3 linked regions of the Elephas maximus indicus genome follow. The main gene of each other region encodes a partner of the protein of the gene in region 2 in a complex. Links are inferred from orthologs where the notes say so. Each region holds a gene or a part of one and is shown on either strand. Other genes may lie near its edges.

Evidence for each region. Proteins that work in one complex are often made in the same cells at the same time.
Region 1: the proteins of SFN (region 2) and TBC1D4 are in contact, whole or in part, in a crystal structure (PDB 7NIX), measured with the Homo sapiens proteins. The link is inferred for Elephas maximus indicus from reciprocal best matches to the Homo sapiens genes SFN and TBC1D4. Residues at the interface, in NP_006133.1 of Homo sapiens: Asn42, Ser45, Val46, Lys49, Arg56, Arg60, Phe119, Lys122, Arg129, Tyr130, Glu133, Gly171, Leu174, Asn175, Val178, Tyr181, Glu182, Leu218, Ile219, Leu222, Asp225, Asn226, Leu229, Trp230; in NP_055647.2 of Homo sapiens: Arg637, Arg638, Arg639, Ala640, His641, Thr642, Phe643, Ser644, His645, Pro647.
Region 3: the proteins of SFN (region 2) and YAP1 are in contact, whole or in part, in a crystal structure (PDB 6G6X), measured with the Homo sapiens proteins. The link is inferred for Elephas maximus indicus from reciprocal best matches to the Homo sapiens genes SFN and YAP1. Residues at the interface, in NP_006133.1 of Homo sapiens: Lys11, Glu14, Cys38, Glu39, Asn42, Leu43, Val46, Lys49, Arg56, Lys122, Arg129, Tyr130, Gly171, Leu174, Asn175, Val178, Glu182, Leu218, Leu222, Asp225, Asn226, Leu229, Trp230; in NP_001123617.1 of Homo sapiens: Ala125, His126, Ser127, Ser128, Ala130, Ser131, Leu132, Gln133.

What each region holds. Positions count from the first base shown.
Region 1 is NC_064832.1:68,291,570-68,299,019, forward strand, and holds the start of TBC1D4 (TBC1 domain family member 4), read right to left. Parts: upstream 5,136-7,450; 5' UTR 4,420-5,135; coding exon 3,931-4,419; intron 3,916-3,930; exon of another isoform or gene 3,686-3,915; coding exon of another isoform or gene 3,605-3,685; exon of another isoform or gene 3,561-3,604; coding exon of another isoform or gene 3,543-3,560; exon of another isoform or gene 2,677-3,542; intron 1,301-2,676; exon of another isoform or gene 1-1,300.
Region 2 is NC_064821.1:67,302,969-67,310,180, forward strand, and holds SFN (14-3-3 protein sigma), read left to right. Parts: upstream 1-3,898; 5' UTR 3,899-4,028; coding exon 4,029-4,775; 3' UTR 4,776-5,431; downstream 5,432-7,212. UniProt on the Homo sapiens protein: Adapter protein implicated in the regulation of a large spectrum of both general and specialized signaling pathways. Binds to a large number of partners, usually by recognition of a phosphoserine or phosphothreonine motif.
Region 3 is NC_064825.1:18,547,296-18,554,745, reverse strand, and holds the start of YAP1 (transcriptional coactivator YAP1), read left to right. Parts: upstream 1-2,388; 5' UTR 2,389-2,481; coding exon 2,482-2,802; intron 2,803-6,966; coding exon 6,967-7,217; intron 7,218-7,450. UniProt on the Homo sapiens protein: Transcriptional regulator with dual roles as a coactivator and corepressor. Critical downstream regulatory target in the Hippo signaling pathway, crucial for organ size control and tumor suppression by restricting proliferation and promoting apoptosis.

The sequences.
Region 1 (7,450 bases), on a different chromosome or scaffold from region 2:
TATTTGACCCGGAAATGGTTCATTAGCTTCCGGCCACTACCTCTCTTTGCACCTAGGAAAAACAGCTCTATATTAGGTCATACTGGCTGAGTGCTTCTCCAGATGAACATACCTACATTGACTGTGACCTACCAGAGGGCAAATCACTGTGGAGATTCCCCACAACAGACTCAAGATAGAGCACTGCACTTCTATCTCTGAGGTTACATTTAGATCCAATCCCAAAAAGCTATATGAATAGATATTCTGCAAAATATCATTATTTTCTATATAGAAACCACAACTCTCAAACTCAATGGCCCAGCACGAACACAATCTTTGCCATTTTGCCATGGTGACCACACACCCATTTGCCCAGAATTGTCCGGATTTATATTTGTACCAGTCTAATTACTAGTGGCTCCCTATTTCACAATAAAAACTGTGCCAGATTAGACAATACATTATATGGTCATCCTACACATAGGTCCATTGAAAAGGGGACAAACCAGAGGCAACTTATTTGGGAATGTTCGCAGGCCTCCCACTCTAGGCTACCTTGTTCATTTATGGACAACGCTTAAAAACTAAAAACAGGATGTTTTAAAATAATGACCCTAAAGTTCGAATAAACAACTCTCCACTTCAAATGCAGATCTCAGAAGCAAAGCAAACAGCTGGTCTTCTTCCCTCTGAATTCAAGGGTGCCCAGAACTTTACAGAACCTATTCTGTATGAGGTATGTTCCTGGATGGCAGGACTACAGTGAATTCAACCCTTAACAAGTCCAGCTGCAAAATCACTACTTTGGGAAGTTTTATTTGTAAATTCTTCAAAAACTTCAGTCCTAACTCTTCCCACTGGTGTTGGCAAAGAATATTGGACTGCCAAAAGAACAAATAAATCTGTCTTGGAAGAAGTGTGGCCAGAATGCTCCTCAGAGGCAAGGATGGCGAGACTGCGTCTTACGTACTTTGGACATGTTGTCTGGAGGGATGAGTCCCTGGAGAAGGACATCATGCTTGGCAGAGTACAGGGTCAGCGGAAAAGAGGAAGACCCTCAACAAGGTGGATTGACACAGTGGCTGCAACAACGAGCTCAAGCATAACAACAACTGTAAGGATGGCACAGGACGGGCAATGTTTCGTTCTGTTGTGCACAGGGTCGCTATGAGTTGGAACCGACTCGACGGCACCTAACAACAACCAACAACTCTTCCCACTATGACAGCCATATAGATTGAACTCTGGAGTTCAAAAGGAAATGTAGCAAAAGCCTGAAGACTGTTTTCAAATTGCACTCATTTATTCAACAAATATTTATGCTAGAGACTGAAAAAAAAAAACCCTCCCCCTCCCCCCCATCAATGAATACAATCCTTAGATGTGTTTAGTTTGGCCCTTTAAAACCAGTTGCCATGAAGTCGGTTCCAACTCATAGCAACCCCCTGTGTGTCAGAGTAGAACTGTGCTCCATATGGTTTTCACTGGCTGCTTTTTCTGAAGTGAGTCACCAGGCCATTCTTCTAAGGCACCTGTGGGGGGACTTGAACCTCCAGCCTTTTGGTTAACCGACAAGAACATTAACTTGCACCACCCAGGGACTCCCTGGCCCATATAGGATTCTTAAATGTTTAAAATACTCACTAATATTTTAACATGTGAACACTCACATAAAAATTCAGATTTCCAGCTTCTCTCAGGAAAGTAGAAGCTCTGGCAACAGTAGCCTTGTGTTGCATTAAGTAAAGCAATTTCCAGCCAGTGCTGAAGGGCACCTTGAAAAAGGTCACCCGCTATTCAGTCCTCCTCCATCCTCACTCAACACTCTTCCCAGACATTTGAGTTGGTAACACCTGATTTATGGCTGGAGGTAATAATCCCTGGGGGGACCACATCTGACCCTTGAATTAATGATCCTCTGCCAGGGATTCTATAGGATCTGAGCAAATAAGAATCCATATATTCAGATATTCAACTGGGAAATGAAGATAAGCAGGAAAGTTAGTTTTTCCCTTCCTTTATCAGAAAACGATATGGCTTCCGTTGCTCCTGCTGGAAGGGGAAAATGAGCCCAAACGTGCTACTATTTGTAAAGGAATAGCACATTCAGCCTCTGGCACCTAAACACATAACGGAGGTAAATAAAAAGGATCTTTTAAATTGGCCTCCCACCAATGTGTCAAAGTAGGAGTCAAGAGCCACTGTTGAGAATTCAAAGTGCCACAACTCACAGATGAACTTTACACCATCACGAAATTAGCACCATCAAAAATAATGACAGGTTTCTTAAAGTTCTGGAAAAATGCCATTTATTCCTCCTTACTGAGAGAAGCAGGAAGCTGTAATACCATGAAGATTTAGTAATTTTCACAAATAAATCAAGAATATGCTGTACCTCAATTTCAACACATGTAAAAGCTTAAAAAAAAAGGGGGCTTGAACAAATAAATATCAAATTCACTTTAATCGTTGTTAGGATCTGTGGTCACAATTTAAAGTTGCTTTCTTCATAATGACAACTGAGTATTAAGATATGAAACTATTTTACAAAATAACTGATAATATCTAAGACAATGAACTTTTATTTTCATCAGTTCACCTACAAGCCGTTTGTGAAAAAACCACAGAACCAGAAAGTCTTTCAATTAGAGGTATTAGAATTATGAAAAAAGAAAAAATTAAAGCCGTACTTACAGGTTGTTTTTTCCATCTGACTATTGTTTTTAAAACCAAAAACCTAGTGCCGTCGAGTCACTCACAGAGACCCTGTAGGACAGAGCAGAACTGTCCCATAGAGTTTCCAAGGAGCGCCTGGAGGATTCGAACTGCCGATCCTTTAGTTAGCAGCCTAGCACTTAACCACTAAGCCACCAGGGTTTCCTATTGTTGTTACTACTAATCTCCCAGCTACCAAAAGCACCACCACATGGTGAAACCCGAGACCTTATTTATTTATATTTACAACACTATTCTTTCAAAATACTTTGCAAACATTAAATAATTAATCCTCTTAAAAACAGCACTTTAGAGTTTTTGATATATTAAAACTCTCTTTACACATTTAAGAAAAGGCTTGTTTTCTAAGAAACAATCATCGCGGTAAGGTTTTGTTCAGATTCCTCTAGCGTTTAGAAAAGAATCATGCTTGTTTCTAAGCAAATGAAGTCGACTGTTGGGTGACAACAGCTCGTCTGAAAAAAAAAAATACCATTAAAAAACAAATTCTGACCTTTTCATACAAAGCTCTTCCACTAGGATGAATTTTAAAGGACCTAGTATGTCTCCACCCGAGTGTATAAAAAACTGCTCCCCCCCCCGCAAAAAAAAAAAGTCTTCCTTCAACTCTACAGACAGCGTCGTACTTTGCTGACAATCTGACAACGCCTAGTAAACTATTCCCTAAACCCCTCTCGAAAAGAGTCTCCAGGATCGGAGACCCGCAGGTGCCAAGTGGGTTAAGAAGGAGGACTCGAATCAGACCGAGCGCAGGGCCTCTAGGAACTCAACCCTCTCCCGTGTTCGTAAACACGCACACACACACACACACACACACTACACACAAGTCCGGGAGTCTCCATCTCCGATCACCCTCCAAACAGCGCCATCCTCTCTGGACGCGCACCCCTCCTGCGTCCTTCTCGCGCGCGCCCGTTCGCTCCTCCTTGGTTCCGAGACCGTTCTCTGTCTCCCTGCTCTCCCTCATCCCTGGTCCTTCGGACCAGTCCACTCTGGCCGCCACTCAGCCCCGGAACATCTTTTCCCCGACTCCGGGACCGAGGCGGGGAGCGCAGGGCGAGCCCTCCAGCCGCGCCACGTGGAGGGCGCGCGCCAGTACACCGACCACAGTGCGCCAGAAAAGTGGGGCCCAGCCCCTTCGGCCCTGCTACCCAACCCCAGTGCGCCACCCCTCCCCGTGCATTCCCCGGCGTCTCCGAGCGGAGCTCTTGCCTGATTGGGGTCTGTGGCGCGGAATACGTGGCAGGCCATCTGCGACTCGGGGTCGTCGGGCTGCGCCTTAATCAGGTAGGCGAAGTAGGTGAGGTCGTGGCTGTTGTGAATGAAGCGCGAGATATGCTGCGCCTTGTGCTCGAAGATGAACACCGCCGGGTTGGGCTGCGCGGCTGTGGGGCCGGGGCCCCCTGCGCCCGGCGCGGGGACGCAGCGCAGGAGGGGCGAGCTCAGCACCAGGAGCACCTCGCGGGCCGGCTGCGCCCCGCAGCCGCCCGCCTCCGGCTTCTGGCTGCGCCGGCGAATCTCGGCCATGAGCCAGGGCAACATGGGCAGCGTGGTCCTGCGGTCCAGGCACGACCCCCCCACGTACCACAGTCGGAACCGCTTCTCGCCAGGCTTTCCCGGGGCTGACTGCGAAGAGGCGCCGGGCTCGGGCTCCAGGGGGTGCGGAAAGGGCTCATCCTGAATGCAGCTGGGGGTTTCCATAGTTCTCGCCTAAGGAGGGCACCGAGGCGGTCCAGCAGGCGCGCCGCGCCCCCAAGTCCGGCGCTGAAGGCGCTGCCGAAACTGTGCCAACTCCCACACTGGGCTCCCGCGCCCGCCTCGGTGCGGTGAGACACCGAACTCCAAGCCTCGGCGCCCCTGCCCCAGGCGGCACTTCCACGGACGCAGGTCCGAGGCTCCGGCGGCGAGCACGGAGGCGAGCGCCCGGCAGCCGGGCTCCAAGGAGAAAAAAAAAGAGGACGGATTAAATCGGCATCCTTCTTTCTCTAGCACATGCCTCAGGACCGGACTTCTTTCTTCGCCACGGGTCTGTCCGATCTGAGAACAACGCCGAGGGCCCTACGCCACCACCTCCCGCCGCGGCCGGTCGCCGCCTCCTCCAGCGCTGCAGATCGGCTGCGGCCGCCGCTCCGGCCTCGGGCAACCACTGGGAGGCTGGGCGGGGAATGGGCTGTGGGCGGGGAATGGGCTGTGGGCCCGAGGGGGGATTTGGGGAGGAGCTGACTCCTACCAGGGTGACCGGCTGTCACCTGGCAGGTCGGGGCTGCCGAGCTGCGGCGCGCTCAGTCCTCGGAAAGGATTTGCGAGAACTATCCCAGTGGAAAATGAGAAAAACATAACGTGGCCTCGCGGGGCCGCTCCTGCCGCCGCAGCCCAACTCGCTGCTCCTCCTACTGTTCCCGTCCCTCCCTCGCTCCTTCCTTCCTTCCCGGCCGCTTCTTTAATCAGGCTCCTACCCCGCCTCCCGTCCGGCTGGCGGTGAGGAACGCCTCCAAAAGCATAACTGTGAAATCACCTCTCCGCCTCTTCCTCGGACCCCCGCCCAGCCCGCCCCTCCACTCCACCCTTGGAACAGCTTCTCCGGGCCTGGCGCGGCTACTGCCCAGACCAACTCGGCCTCTCCCGACTGGCTGAGCTCTGCGTCCTCTCCAGGAGTCTCTACTGCCCCCTATGAGGCGTTGGAATTTTTTTTAGTAGTATTTGCTTAGCTTCAGTTCCTTCTGAATCTCAAATGCGTATTGATTTCTGAATTCTCCTTCTTAATAGTCTCAAATAATACTCGTGTTTTAAACCATATATTAGGATAAAATATTTTAATTCTGATTTTCACTTTAAAATATTATATGGCAAACAGTTTTTCCCGTTCTTAACGCAGCCAACTTCTGAAAATATGGAGAAATTACACTTATTATATATACCTTTGCTGGAAACCCTGGTGGCATAGTAGTTAAGGGCAGCAGCTGCTAACCAAAAGGTTGGCAGTTTGTAATCCACCAGGCGCTCATTGGAAACCATGTGGGGCAGTTCTACTCTGTCCTATAGGGTCACTATGAGTCGGAATCAACTCGAAGGCGGTGGGTTTTGTTCTGTTTTCTTGGTTTTGCTGTTTCCGAGAAGTATTCGAAGCTGTTTACAGATATACAAACAATATAAGAAGATATAAAATAAGAGAAGTAATGGGATGAGGGGAGGATAGGAAAGATGAAGTTAGGAGCAGTTTCAATACCCAAAATACATACCATAATTTTCTAGAGATTGGTGACAACGTTTCAGAGATCGTGTAGAGATTTCTCACATTTTTATGTAGCAATGCATGTTTCCAAGAAACTCAAAAACATCTCAGGGATCATTTAATCATTCTAATTTTTAAATAAGAAAAAGATTTTTTTTTCCCATTTTTAGCAAATCTGACTCTCAGTCATTGTATTAGTTTCCTGCTGTTGTGTGCTGTCCAGTAGATTCCAACTCATGACGACCCTATAGGACTGAGTGGAACTGCCTCATAGGGTTTCCTAGGCTGTTATCTATAAGGGGGGAAACCCTGGTGGCATAGCGGTTAAGTGCTACGGCTGCTAACAAAAGGTTGGCGATTTGAATCCACCAGGCACTGCTTGGAAACCCTATGGGGCCGTTCTACTCTGTTCTATAGGGTGGCTATGAATCAGAGTCGACTCCACGGCAATGGGTTCGGTTTTTTGTTTTTTGTTTTTTTTAATCTGTACGGTAGCAGATCACCAGGTCTTTTCTCCTGCAGAATTGCTAGTGGGTTCAATCTGCCCACCTTTAAGTTGGCAGCAGAGAGCGTAACCACTGCACCACCAGAGTTCCTTATTAGTTTTGTAGAGCTGCAGTAACTGGGTGGCTAAAAGCAACTAAAATTTATTCTCTCACAGTTCTGGAGACCAGAAGTCTGAAATCAAGTATCAGCAAGGTGGGTTCCTTCTGGAGGCTCTGAAGGAAAATCTGTTCATGCTCTCTCAGCTTCTGGGGATTGTTGGCAATCGGTGTTCTTGGCTTGCAGCTACATCACTCCATTCTCTGCCTCTCTGTGTGTCTCTGTATCTTTTCACATGTCCTTCTTATAAGGACACCAGTCATTGGATTTAGGGCCCACCCTAATCCAATATGATCTTGTCTTAACTTTATTACATCCTCAAGGACCCCACTTCCAAATAAGGGCACATTCACAGATACCAAGGGTTAGGACTTAAACATATCTTTTGAGGGGACACAGTTTAACCCATCGCAGTCACTCCTTCTTTTTACTCTCACTGAATTATAATTAAGAATTGGATCAGAAGTAAACACAAAACAAATGGGAAAGGCACTGAAGGTTTCCGACTTTCACCAGTGTGCTTAGAGGAAGAATGAAAACCCAAGTTTCTCAAATGTTATTACTTTAGTGGTGTTCTCATTTTCTATAAAACCCTTGAACTATTTTCTCCTGTCTATGTAACATCAATATGGTCAACTGCCATTTATTCCTATGCTGAATTTCTGGGTGCACCTGATGCCTGTCATAATTATCTAAGCTCCAAAAAAGAGATATTATTAATTGCTTAGATTAAGTCATTTGGTTAACCATTCCACCGAAATTTTGTGTAAAATAACCTATGTCTTAAAGAAGCAATGGAAACTTCTTGAAACATAGACCGAAATTTATCAGAAACTCTCCTGCACAGATTCCATTTTCCTAGGTCACAAATCCTTAGACACAAGGATGGCAAGACTG
Region 2 (7,212 bases):
ATTAACTCCTTTGTAACTGTCAAACACCCCTGAACTGAGCCCAGCCCAGGGTAAAAATCTCACGGAGCCGTCTCTCTCCAGCAGCCGCTCCGCATTGAGACACACACACACAGTGTGCCAAGAGCTAAAAAATAATTACAGCTACCAGCTACCAAGGACTCGGCAAGTGCCAGGCCCGTTTTCTCACCTTAACCTGTGGGGAAGGTAGTGTCAGCCTTTTTACAGATGAGGGAACTAAGGCTCAGGGAAGTCACAGGACTTACCCAGGATCACCCAGCTGATAAAGCACCCAGTCCAGGATTTGAACCTGATCTCTGCCCAATCTCTGACCTGTCTGCACTACCTGAGGAATGAATGAGGCTTCTCCAGGAGGATGAGCATCTCAGGGGGAGAAACCCTAAAAGAGAAGTCAGAGCCGGCAAGGGGCTGAGAGGTAATACGGGCTGGCCTCTTCATTGTACTGACTGGATAGCTGAGGCCCAGAGGCAGGAAGGGACTTGCCCAAGGCCTGTAACAGAGCTGGGATGCAGTTCCACACCCTGACCACATTCCATTGTCTTTCCCCAAATTCCAGTCTTCTAGAGTGGATTGGTCTAGGAGATATGGGGTCCTTTAAACCATAGTGCCTTGAGGAGAAAGAGAACAGCTGAAGTCACTTAAAATTTATCCAGTGTTCCCACCCAAAGGCAACTAATGCCATAAGCTCTTGGCTGGATAACTCTGGCTCACAACTCACCAGGGGAAGAAGATGCCATAGCCCCCTCTGGTCACCTATTGAGTTTGATCATTCCATGACAAAAATGTCCTAGAAAATTCTTTCTGGAATCTGACCAGAATCCCTCTTGCTACAATGAGAGAGCCCTGTCCTCTGTTCTCAGTGAAGTTAAATAGCAACTGGTTGCTGGGTTTGTGTGTCACAACCCTTCAAAGTCTGTTATTACCAGCTAAGAAGAATTGGTTGTGGGCCCAGAGGCCTTGAGCCTGCCGGTGGGATGGACGCTATGCAGAGGGGTGGGGAGGTGGGCAGGATGAGGAAAGCCCCTTTGGGCTGCAGCCCCAGCTCCTATTCTGCTGACTCAGGTGGCTGACTGTGGAGCTCTGTGCCCTGCCAGGGCCTGCTGCCTCCTGCCCACCTGGGCTCCTAGACTTGGGAAATGGAGGCCCGGAGGCAAAGGGAGGTGCCTGAGACAGGAACTGAGTCAGGATCAACAGGCCAGAGCCGGCCAGAGGTATCAGGCAGCAAGGCTCCCAGATTCCTCTATGAGCTTCAGCAGATGGGGGCCAGGAGTGAAGGGGCTTCCCTTCCCCCTCTCAGGGCTGTGCTGAGGGCATGGAGCTTGTGGTGAACCACCACCAGGTCTCCTGGTTTAGGTGGTGAGGAGAGAATGCTCCCTCTCTGGATATAGAAACAGCTCCAAAGTTCCTAGACGTGCCAGGCTCTGCCTTCGAGCTTCCTAGTGTACCAAGATCTCCAGCTTTCCCCTAGGACTTGGGAAAGCCCAAGCTGGCTGATGAGTGCCAAGTAAGGTCCTTGAATGTCCTAGATGGTGAAGGAGAAGGCAGGGCTGAGCACATCTGACCACTTATCCATCTTGAGAGGGGAGCCTGTGGGCAAACCCTTTTTACCCCCATGGACACCCGGCTGGACAGGGTCTGGTCTTCAGCAGAGGCCTGGTTTGGGGCCCTTCCTCATTTCATAGAATCCTGCTCCATGTTAGTGCTTTGTGTGTATGTTTACAATAAAGCTGGCTGAGTTTTTTCACATAATAATAGTTACCATCCACTCTGCTAAGTGCTTCGATGAACTCATTTGAACCTCAGAAGTCCCATTTTACATGTATAGAAACTGAAGCTCACCTAGGTTAAGTAACTTGACCAAGGCCACACAGCTTATACGAATTGAGCCTAGGCAGTCCCATTCCAAAGATTCTAGACTCTCTCATTAAAAAAAAAAAAAAATGTTCATGATTGAAAATTTGGAGAGAATAGGAAAATCAAAAGGAAAAAGAATCACTCAGCATCACTACCTAAAGATGCCGTCTGTAAGCTGCTGTTTTGGTACATTTCCTTGCCATCGTCTTTTGTGTCAGTGCTTTGATTTAAGCAAAAGCCTTTGGGAGGTCAAACCTAAGTTCCCTGCCGCCTCCTTAGAAAATCTGTAGCATCAGCCTTGGCATGTCTCTACTCTCCCTCGTGGCAAAGAGGCAGAGCTCAACTTTGGGCCTCAGAGTTCTGGCCTAAGTTTCCCTCCAGGAGGGGAAGGTGGGTGTTCAGACACTAAGAGGAACCAGGGGAGGCCCAGGCCTATGAAATGGTCTGGCTTCAAGGATTAGGCTGGTAGAATCCCTGAAAGGGAAGCCCCACCCCAGACTCCCGTCTGAGCTTTGGCTAGGGGTAGGACAGATAAGCAGGAACCCACCCTCATAGGCTCAGCGCCAATACCCTTAGGTGAAACTCTTGGCTGACTCAAGGACAGGGGCCCACTGAGCAGGGATAGAAGGTTGGCAAGGGAGAAGTCTCCATCTCTGAGACCTCTGTCAGGGGTCAGAGGTGGGGCCCTGGGCAGTGGCACAGGGAAACTTCTGAGAGGCAGGTTTGGGGAGACAGCACTCAGCTGGGATTTCTGCCCCATAAACCAAAATGGTATATGTCACCACCACCTTCTCAGCCTATCTTTCTCCTCAGGTTGCCGGCATCCCCCCTGCGGGACCAAACAGGCCTGAGCACCCAGGTGGCCTGCTTCCCAACCTCTGACAGAAGGCAGGCTGAGTCAAGCAGGAAAGTGGGACAGCCAAGGAGCTGGGCCCCCACCCTCCATGAGCCCCACTGATACATGATGGCAGGCAGCTTCAGGAGGGGGGGGCATCTGGCCTGCCATCGAGAGCCAGAGGGTAAATCCTCAAACAAGTGGCAACAGGCCACTGACTTGAAAGAGAAAATTGTGCTGTGATGGGGAAGGTGTCTGACAAACCTACTGGGTGACTAATTACAAAGGCTGGGTTGGAGCGTCAGTGGCCGCTTCTTAAATACCTCATTAAGTGGCACCTTGAAAGCTGCCCACCCCTGCATTCTGGGAATTCAGAGGGGACAGGACCCTGAGGAGCAGGGATGGATTACCCAATAAGCAAAGTACACACAGGCTTACTTATGCTTACTTACTAATCTGTAGTGCACAATTTACATGGATTTCACCACATTAAAGAGCTGTGTGACCCTGAGCTAATCTCACCCTTCTCTTATACTCAGTTTTCCCATCTCTAAAGTGGGAATAATAATCACAGTGCTGCACATTTCACAGAAGGGTACCAAAAAAACAAACCAAACCCACTCCCCTCGACTCGATTCCGACTCATAGTGACCCTACAGGGTAGGGTAGGAGTGCCCTGTAGAGTTTCCAAGGAGCACCTGGTCGATTCAAACTGCTGACCTGTTCGTTAGCAGCCATAGCACTGAACCACTACGCCACCAGGGTTTCCCACAGAAGGGTAAAAAAGGGATTAAATTAGGTTGTGGCTGTGAAGATGCTTGGGAATCTCTACAGCCCTACCGAAGCATGAGTTACCTCACCTGAACCAAGGGGGAAACATGTCCAGCAGGATTAGGAGCCTCATTCTCTTGAACCTGGCTTATGGGTGCTTCGGTGGCTAGAAGGTCACTACGAAGGAGGATCCGATTTGAGAAACTGGGGAGCTACCTAACATGGGCATGTAATGGCAACCCTGAACAGAGGGGGCAGCCAGGAGCCCAGAAAGGTGCCTATGCAGGTGGGGCCCACGCCCACATTTCTGACGCTGACTGTCCTGATGACTCACCCCCTTTTACCTTTAAGGAAGAGCCGGAAAGGGTGTGGAGAGGAGAGGGAGGCAGGTCCAGGGCCCCAGTCCCACCCCCTACCCCTCCCCACCCTCCTCTGGGCCAGGCCACCCAGCCAAAAGGCAGGCACAGAGCAGGAGAGCCACAGAGCCCAGTCCGGCATTGGTCCTGAGGCAGCCAGTTAGCTCGCCACCTGTCCATCTGTCCCTAGAGCCATGGAGAGAGCCAGCCTGATCCAGAAGGCCAAGTTGGCAGAGCAGGCCGAGCGCTATGAGGACATGGCAGCCTTCATGAAGGGAGCCGTGGAGAAGGGTGAGGAACTATCCTGCGAAGAGCGCAACCTGCTCTCAGTGGCCTACAAGAACGTGGTGGGTGGCCAGAGGGCTGCCTGGAGGGTCCTGTCCAGCATCGAGCAAAAAAGCAACGAGGAGGGCTCAGAAGAAAAGGGCCCTGAGGTGCGAGAGTACCGGGACAAGGTGGAGACTGAGCTCCGGGGTGTATGCGACACTGTGCTGGGCCTGCTGGACTCCCACCTCATCAAGGAGGCTGGTGATGCTGAGGGCCGGGTCTTCTACCTGAAGATGAAAGGTGACTACTACCGCTACCTGGCCGAGGTGGCCACAGGTGACGACAAGAAGCGCATTATCAACGCAGCTCGGGCAGCCTACCAAGAGGCCATGGACATCAGCAAGAAGGAGATGCCACCCACCAACCCCATCCGCCTGGGCCTGGCACTGAACTTTTCTGTCTTCCACTATGAGATTGCCAACGTCCCTGAGGAGGCCATCTCGCTGGCCAAGACCACCTTTGATGAGGCCATGGCTGACCTGCACACTCTCAGCGAGGACTCCTACAAAGACAGCACCCTCATCATGCAGCTGCTGCGAGACAATCTGACGCTGTGGACGGCCGACAGTGCTGGGGAAGAGGGGGGCGAGGCTCCGGAGGAGCCCCAGAGCTGAGCCACGCCTGCGACCTGCCCTGCCCTGCCCGCTCCAGCCCCCACCCCCTGCAGAGAGGACTAGTGTGGGGTGGGAAGCCTGCTCCTTCTCCCTGAGTGCTTTGCCCCCAGCTCAGGAAGGCTCCGTGGAGAGGGACCGGCAGAGCTGAAGCCACCTGGAGCCAGAATATCCCACACTTCATGTGCTGTCAGGTGCTCTGACCGCTGGTCACCCCACCCGCTCCTGCTCTCTGCACCCCCTTTCTCCCGCCCTGCCCGGGAGCCGGGCCTCTTCGTCTCCCCTCCTGCCTCCCTTCTGCCCCAAGATCTTAGGAATTGAGGAGTGTCCCACCCTTGTGGCTGAGAGCTGGACTGTATGGTGGAGGCTGGGATGAGTGTGTGTCTGTGTGACTGAGTGTGTGAGAGTAAGACCAAGGATGGGAGAGAGGGAAAGCATGTCTGCTGGGTGTGACCATGTTTCCTCTCAATAAAGTTCCCCTGTGACATTCCTCCTGTCTTCCAGTTATTGGCCGTGGGCTGGGACTGGGATTGGTGTATAGTCTACGAGTCCCTGACTTTGGACCTTTGACTTAGAGTCCTGACCTCCCATGGGGCTGGCTCATGACCCACAGGTGGGACTTTGGGAGCAGTGACTCCAAAGGAGAGCCCGGGGTTCAGCTCTCTCCAACAGGGTGACCTTGGGCTGGTCCCCGCTGGGACAGGTGAACGCAAAGGCTGCGCGGCGACTCTGGCTGAGGAGAGGTGAGTGGGTGCTGCAGCGCACGAGGCCGGAGAGCTCAACCTGAGAGGGCGTGAGTCTCAGGGCAGCGACGCTGGGGGACGCTGCGGTGAGCGGCACTGAGGACCCCACGTCCGAAAGCGGAAAGGAGTCCCAACAAGGGCCCAGCTCTAAGCGGAGGGAGGACGACCTGAGGCAGGGCTACGAGGCCGCCATGAAAACCCCAGATCTGAGGAGAGGCGGACGCCCCCCCCAGCCCTCGGAGATGGGGACAAAATGACACGGGGCTGGCAGGAAAAACGCAGAGCTGCGGGGAACCGAGGCCGGTCCAAACCGACCGCGCCCGCCGTCGCCGCACCATGCAGCAGCAGCACGCCAGGGCCTGCGACCGCTTCGCGCACTCCCGCCCCTCAGCCGGCGGCTGGAGGCGGGGCCGCGGCCAAGCCTGCCCAGTCACAGGAGGAAGCTGACAAGGGTACCGCCCCTAGGGCCCAATTGGCCAGTGAGGAGTGGGTGGCGGAGCGCGGGCGGCACGACCTCGTGCTGCCCCCCGGGGCCCAGCGGAAGCTGCTACGCGCTGACTGAGAGGCGCTCCCCACCCGCCCAGCCCCGAGGGGCGGTGCTTTCTCGGTTTCACTTAAACGAGTTGTCACCTGCCCAGCCCGAGAACTGGGCTCTCAGAGCAGCGGGACGGGACGGGACGGGGAGGGGCGGGGTGGAAAGTGCAGTTCCAGCCCTTTGAGTCATCTGCACAGCCGGCGGTGCCTGGACCGGGGCTGGCGGGCAGGATCAGCTGAGTCCCCGGGTCCAGCCCTTCGGCTGGAAAAAGTCACCAAATCGCCCCCACCACACCCCAGAGTCCAGGCAGCCCTGAACTGGTCTCTAGGAGACTTGAATCGTGCCCCTGACTGGCTGTGCGAACTTGGATAAGCCACTGTACCTTCCTGAGCCTCAGTTTCCTCGTTTGTAACATAAGGGGCTTGCCCTAAAGGCTGTGTAACTCAATAAAAGTGAAAAATGTGGGTTCTGGAGTCAGACTGTCTGAGTTTGCATTCTGGCCTGCCTTGGGCAAGGCTTTTAACCTGGCTCACGTTTGTGCCCTCATCTGTAAAAAAGTGGGAGTTAAAAACGGTACCCTCCTCTTAGAATTGCTGTGCAGTTTCATAAAATAAGTGCACACAAAGTGCCATAGTACACGTTCAACAAATATTAGCTGGTATTAATCCAGCGTCAACGGTCTAGCATTTGTCGCACAATTCTGTGCCAAAAGCAAAATAATCAGGCCTTAGCCCTGAGGAGCAGCTTTACTGCCAAAGCTGACTTGCATGCTCGCTGGACCACTGAGAACGCTGGTTGGCCTGACATCAACGGGTGGCTCCTCCAACTGGCAAGATTGCTGGAACTCAGTCAGCCTCATCAAGTTCCTTCCCCAGAGTTGAAGTTTGGCCACATCACGGAACTCAAGTGAAGGACTCTCATCAGAGCTAATTCTACAGGGGAAGCTGGCAGGCCCACTTTGGTGCCTTCTGGGTCCCCGGTTTTCTCCTTTTTTTCCTGAAGATGTGCTGGGTTTGTTTCAAGGTTCCAAACCAGGCAGAAACTCTTATGGCAAGTGACTCCCCCAAAGCTTTGGAGGTGACCCGGTTTCTCTCACCAGACAGGTCTGGTGACTTTCTCTTAACGGGGCTGGTCCTGAGAAAGGAACTTCTTTCTTCCATTT
Region 3 (7,450 bases), on a different chromosome or scaffold from region 2:
GATAATGGTGAGTCTTTTTAAATGTGAGACCATTTTAAAGATGAGGGAGTAAGTAACTTGTCCAATGCCTCACAGCTAGAAAATGGTGGAACTGGGACAACTGAAATCTCTGTAACTCCAGAACCTACAAGTTTGTAGTTAAATGCACTTGAAGTTTAACATTTTCGGGGGGCGAGATTGGAGAAGTAAATCCAAGATGGGATGGTGGGCATCATTTAATCTGATTCCATTCTTCAGAGGAAGTAGTCAGAGTGGGGGTTAGAATCTTGAGTGTCTGATGCCACAGCCCCTGGCCCTGCCATACACCAAGCGAGAGATCCCTATTCAAAATTCCCATGGGCAAGTCCTGGCTGGAGGGAGAGATTATTTTTTTTGCAAAGGGGCCCTTTTCTTGCTTAATCCTATTTACATTTTTTTTTCACTAGCATTGTCGACAAAATCATTGAAACAAGAAGCCAGATTTCTTTAGAATGGGCTAGTGGTTTAAGGAGCCCTGGTGGCGCAGCGGTTAAAGCACTCGGCTCCTAACCAAAAGATCCAAACCCACCAGCCGCTCCCGCGGGGCGAACGATGTGGCTCTTTCCATCAAGATTACAACCTTGGAATCCCTATGGGGCAGTTCTGCTCTGTGCTATACCGTCACTGAGTGGAAATCGACTCCATGGCAGTGAGTAAAAAAATCAAGCCAAAGGCGTTGGTAGCGACCTTATAGGACAGAGTAGAACTGCCCCATAGGGTTTCCAAGGAGCAGCTGACGCAATGGACCTGCCAGCCTTTTTGGTTAGCACCAGAGCTGCGCAGTGGCGGGTAGTGGTTTAAAATCTGAGCAATGTTGCACAACTCTGTGAATTTACTAAAAAGCATTGTATTGCTTAAATGGATGAATTGTGTATGTGTCAGACATACAATTGCATATATCTCAAAACTTTTTTAAAAAATCATAATGATATTTTGAATTAAAAAAAAAATTTTGATTGCATTTGAGTGATTTCAAGTGGACTCCAAGCATACGTGACACGGCTATATCTAGGATCAGGTGCCTGGAATGATTTCCTCGCCCATTCATTTCTTACTCATGCAACATTCACGGAGTCCACGGTTGTGTCAGGCACGGGGATAACGATGGGATAGGTTCACAGCTCCTCTAGGATGAAAGGCAGCTACACTGAAAATTGTTTGTAACCGAAAGTAAACACTGATTTTTCACGTAGAGGTTTCCAGTGGGTATGTTGCAAGTCTGAATGCCACAAAAGTTGATGTTTTCACTTAAAAAAAAAAAAAACTTACGCACCTTAATTCACTGGAAAGAGGTAATTTTTTTTTTGAAGTTACACTGAGTCACAGAACTAGCCACAAACTATCTAGATGCTGTGATCATTTATCCTTTTTTTGCATGCAAAGAGGTGAGTGAAAAACTACAAAATCCAGTTACTGTTAAACAGACATTTGTTAAGATCGGTGCCTGTTACTGGTACCTATTCTAACTCCAACCTATTTTTGCGCCTTTAACCCCGTATTGACACTACTGCTGGTTTAAGTCGAGCTAACGCGGGGAGGGTTTAAGTGGAGTTTCACCCTCTCCAGGCTTCTTTCGGCCTTAGCCATTTCGCATCTCCTGGCGAGCTGGACCGAGCCTTTTTCCGAGGATCGGCGGGGAGGGACCGGGCGGGGCGGAAGAACTTCCTGCGGCCAAGGGCGGCCGCGTTCTCTGCACAGACGAGAGCTCAGACCCAGTTTGGACCCAACGTTTCCCATCCGCCCGGCCGTCAGTCCTCGCGGCGCGGAGGTCCAAGCACCCCCTCAGCCTCTGCCCTTGAAGCACAGGCGAAGGACTGGGTTGAGGGCGAGTTGGTCACGTGCGGCTGGGAGAGGCATTGGAAGCTGGGAGTTTGCAGGAATGTAGTAACTTGCAGGGAAAAGTTTCCCTCGGCGGCCGGCCGCGGATTCGGTGCGGGCGGGCGCGCAGAGGAAGGAAGAGCTGGGAGGAGGCGGAGCCGGCGAGCGGCTCGGGCGGGCAGTTCTCTCAACTTCAGTTTTGGCGTCTGAGGCGAGTTTCTGTCTCAGTCGGGCACAGCCGCCGCCGGGGAAAAGAAAGGGAGGAAGGAAGGAACAAGAAAAGGAAATAAAAGAGAAAGGGGGAGGGGAAAGGCGACTAGTTGTCCGGCTTCAGTCAAGGGAGTTGAAGGGGAAAAAAGTTCTCAGGCGCCGCAGGTCCGGGTCTCTCTCAGCCCCTCCCGAGGCGCAGCCGCCAGACCAGTGGAGCCCGGGCGCAGGGCGGGGGCGGAGGCGCCGGGGCGGGGGATGCGGGGCCGCGGCGCAGCCCCTCGGCCCTAAGAGCGAGGAGCGCGCCGCTCCCGACGCCCAGCGCCGCCCGGCCCGCCGCCCTCGCCGCTTCTCTAGTCTCGGCCCGTCGAGCCGGGCCGCCCGGGCGGAGCCCTCGCCCGCCTGGTCAGGGGGTGCGCGTCGGGAGAGGCAGAAGCCATGGATGCCGGGCAGCAGCCGCCGCCTCAGCCTGCCCCCCAGGGCCAAGGGCAGACGCCCGCGCAGCCCCCCCAGGGGCAGGACCCGCCGTCCGGGCCCGGGCAGCCGGCGCCCCGGGGATCCCAGGCGGCGCCGCAGGCCCCCCCCGCCGGGCACCAGATCGTGCACGTCCGGGGGGACTCGGAGACCGACCTGGAGGCGCTCTTCAACGCCGTCATGAACCCCAAGACGGCCAACGTGCCCCCGACCGTGCCCATGAGGCTCCGGAAGCTGCCGGACTCCTTCTTTAAGCCGCCGGAGCCCAAATCCCACAACCGACAGGTAACCTACCCCTTCCCTGTCGGGCGGGCCCCAGGTCGGGGTGGGGATTCCGGGAACCCTGGCGAGGGGTAGGGCTATCCCGGTGAGTTGGAGGAACTGGAGGCCCCCGCTCGGCCGCGGTTTTCGGCTCCCCACTCTTCCTGGAGTCCGGGGCCGAGATTTGTTTTTCCCTTTGGAGTTTCTGCGGTTGCAGCCCCAGGGGGTGCGCTCTGCCCTTCTTCCTTTCTTTCTTTCTTCCCGGGGTTCCCAGGAGGTTGGCGGGAGTGAAGGGGGAGGTGGGGAGGAAGGAAGGGGGTGGGGAGAGCCCGCCCGGGCCGCGGTGGGCTTGCACAATGCGCGCGTCTCCGCGCGCTCCGCACCTTCGCTCCAGCCGCGGCCCGGGGAGGGGGAGGGGGGCCTCTGGCATCCGAGTGGGTGAGTTGCCAGCGGCGGCCGAGTTTGTGAAGTTGAGCCCTGGGCCCCTTTTCCTTCGGGGCCTCTCGGTCCTCTTCAGTCTCCTGGGGAGTCAAATAATTGTTCTCTTGTTTTCCAGTGTTGATTAGGGGGTGGGGGTGGAACTAGTGCTGTTCGTTTTCTTGCTCTTTCTCCCCCTCCCCCGACCGAAAGCATTTATTTTCCTCGCTGCCCCGGCCCATTCGGAATACAGGATCCGGGCTTCCCCTGCCCAGACTTTCCTGGAAGTTGTTTATGGAGTTCGTTCTTTCACTCCTGCACTTCCCTTGCGCTTGGAACTCAGGCAGGCTCACTCTTATCAAACTCGGTAGATTCATGTGTTGGTTTCCCAATTTTAGGCTATTATTTACAGTCTGCTGAAATGCTTTTAAATTAGCCACATCTGCACGTTGCGCAGGACCTGAGTTGAGCTTTACAGTACCGAGGTTTTAACACACAGCCTTTGATAATACCCTGCAGGTTGACTCATAGGCCAAGTCCTGCCTGGTTCAACTCTGATTAAAAGTTAATGTTTGGGAAGCGATGACTAATTCTAGGATCGCCATTGCTTTTTAATTCTTATTGAGGATATGAACATGGCTGCTTTTCCGCAAACACAACGTTCGACTATTTTGTCAACTTGTTTTAATATTGAAGTGGAACTATTTATTAGGAAAGTTTTAACATTCCAGTAGGTCCCGGTAGGTATATATATATATTTTTTTTTACTGAAGGCTTTTGTAGGTGTCGCCCCCCCCCCTTTTTTTTTTTTTGAAGAAGTTGCTATGGCTAAACTTCAGCATAGGAACTTTGGCCAAAAGCTAATTGGTTTTCCAAATACTGCATCGTAGTTTGTCCACTCGGGCTGTAACTTGAGTGGAAAGAAGAGGTTCCCCCCCCCCACCCACTCCCATTCCTCCTCATATTTGCAGGCCTGTAGTATATTCTTGTGGGCAAACCGAAGGAATTTTGGAACTCAGAAAAGCTTACTGTCAAAAACCCGGGTTAAGGACGTGATAGAAAAAAACAGTTTAGCTGCTTGCCTAAACAATTTGTAAGAGGTAGACTTAGGTATGCTTTTTTCTTTAACCCTGCAGGTGAGCTTCTGGGCTCGTTATGGATAAAGTGTGTAGGCATGCACCCTACAGAGTACAAACTACGGTGCTATTTACTTACTATAAGTATAATGCACACAGGAGATTGAATTCCCCATTTTGTGGCATCTATAAACCAAAAAGAATTGCAACTGAAAAGTGAACTTATTCTTCTAATAAGTAATTACACAAGAATTTATATCCAGCAGTTGGTGGGCAGTCTCCCTTCCTTGCCCATATGAATGTAGGAAATTCTAACCTTCTGATAATCAAACTCTAATTCTAATCAATGGATTAAAAAAAAAACACTATATTTTGAATAGTATGAATTTGTGTTGTAAATACTACTGTTCATAAACTGTTAGATGTAAATTCTTAGGTTTATATCATATAACCAAACCAAACCCACTGCTGTGGAGTCAATTCTGACTCATAGCGAACCTGTAGAGGAGAACTGCCCCATAGGGTTTCCAGGGCTGTAATCCATCAAGATTAATCCACAAAGACTACAGCCTTGAAAACCCTGTGGGGCAGTTCTCCGTCCTATAGGGTTGATATGAGTCAGAATTGACTTGATGGCAGTGGGTTCGGTTTGGATATATGACATAAACCTAAGAATTTACATTCAAGAGTTTATGAACAATAGTATTTACAACACAAATTCATACTGTTCAAAATTGAGTATAATTTTTTTTTAACCCATTGGTTAGGGTTTTATCAAAAAGTTAGAATTTTCTATTTTCATATGGGCAAGAACGGGAGGCTGTCCTATCCACAAACTGCTGGATATAAATTCTTGTGTAATTACTTACTAGAAGAATAAGTACACTTTCCAGTTGTAATTCTTTTTGGTTTATGTGGAGTTGAAGACCTGGTGGCACAGTAGTGAAGACCTGGGCTGCTATAACCAAAAGCTTGGCAGTTGGAATCTATTAGTCACTCCTTGGAAACCTTATGGGGGCGGTTCTACTCTATCCTGTAGGGTCCCTATGAGTTGGAATTGACTCACTGGCAATGGGTTTGGTTTTTTGCTTTGGCTAAGCTTTTTTCTGGGTTTAATCTTTATGGAAGGAGAGACTACCACACCTTTCTCCTGCAGGGCAGGCTGGTAGGTTCGAACCACTGACCTTTTGGTTCACAGCTGAGCACTTAACCACTGCACCACCAAACCAAAAAACCAACCCAAACCCTTTGCTGTCAAGTCGATTCCGACTCATAGTGACTCTATAGGACGGAGTAGAATTGCCCCATAGCGTTTCCAAGGAGAGGCTGGTGGATTCGAACTGCTGACTTTTTGGTTAGCAGCCAAATGCTTAACCATTGTGATACCAGGGCTCCTCCTGTACCACCAGGGCTCCTTTATATCATTTATTACCCCCATTTTTTCATCCTGAAAACAAAAACTGTTTTACAGATGAGGAAACTGAGGCTTACAGAGATTAAGATGTTTGTTCGGTGTGTAATACTAGCCAAAAAGTTAAAGGAGCTTAGACTGGACCCAGATCTTTAGGGTCTGAGTGGAGAATTTTTTTTTTTTTTCTGTTACACAGTTGTAAATATATGAGGGTTTGAGTTTTACATTAGTAATCGAACTGTTAATGTTTTTATCATCTAGGTACAAATATATTGTTGGTTTTTCATTTCATCCATTGAAATGGCTTTACTTAAGAACTTTTGGATGGTTCTGAATATTCTGCATTCATTAGAAGTTGTATAACTTGTGATGATTGGTTGACAACATCTGTCCATTAAAAAAACCAAACCAAACCCATTGTTATCGCGTCGATTATGTCTCATAGCGACCCTGTAGTACAGAGTAGAAACTGCCCCATAGAGTTTCCATGGAGCGCCTGGTGGAGTTGAACTGCTGACTTTTTGGCTAGCACCTGTAGCACTTAACCACTATGCCACCAAGGTTTCCAACATTTGTCCATAGTGAGGGGAAAAAAATGACAAACATCATGTGTTTAGACCTTGGCCTGGAAAAAAAATTAATTAAAGCTCAGTTTAGGAGAAAAAAAAAAAAGAGACATAGTCATTATACTTCTTGGGTTATGTTTATACCTGGGACATTTTAGAACTCGTGAAAGCCCCCAAACTGCCTTGACCTTTTAGAAATTATGTAAAATTCAGTATTTATTAGGCATGTTTCATTCATTCTTTACTACCAAAAACCAAACCTGTTGCCATCAAGTTGATTCCTACTCACAGAAACTCTAAAGGACAGAGCAGAACTGCCCCGATAGGGTTTCCAGGGAGCACTTAGTGGATTCGAACTGCTGACCTTTTGGTTAGGAGCCGTAGCTCTTAACCACCATGCCACTAGAGTTTGCATTCTTTACCAGTGGCCTTTAAAAGATGTACACGTGTGCCTAATGGGTAAAAAAACAAATCACTTAGATGGACTGTTTATTAAAATTACAACTGTTTGTGAAAATATATATTAGAACAAAATCACATAAACCATTTAAAAGTATGCATTTGCCAAACGGTTTTCCTCAGGGTCAAGTATTAAATGCTGAATTTTGCCTTTGGTTCTTAGATACTGGGTTGCAATGAAATTCTATCTAGAAAGTTTAAAAAGAACTCTCTTTTAAAAATTCTGTTTTTTTAATTTTCATTTTAATATTCCTGATAGGTCAGTACTGATGCAGGAACTGCAGGGGCCCTGGCTCCACAGCACGTTCGAGCGCATTCCTCTCCAGCTTCCCTGCAGCTGGGAGCAGTTTCTCCTGGGGCCCTGAGCCCCACTGGAGTAGTCTCTGGCCCAGCAGCTACACCTACTGCTCAACATCTTCGACAGTCTTCTTTTGAAATACCTGATGATGTACCTCTGCCAGCAGGCTGGGAAATGGCGAAAACGTCTTCTGGTCAGAGATACTTCTTAAAGTAAGTGAAAATAATGGTAGGAGATATAGTTATCTAAGAAAAATATGTTTTAGAAAACACAGTAAGTTGTGTAAAGATATAAAATGTCATTTATTTTGTATTTTACTTAATGTTTAAGTCAAGCTCAGTTGTGTATTCCATATATATATTTTTTTATTGTACTTTAGATGAAGGTTTATTGCAAATTAGTTTCTCATTAAACAATACACATATCGTTTTGAGAAAAAAAAATT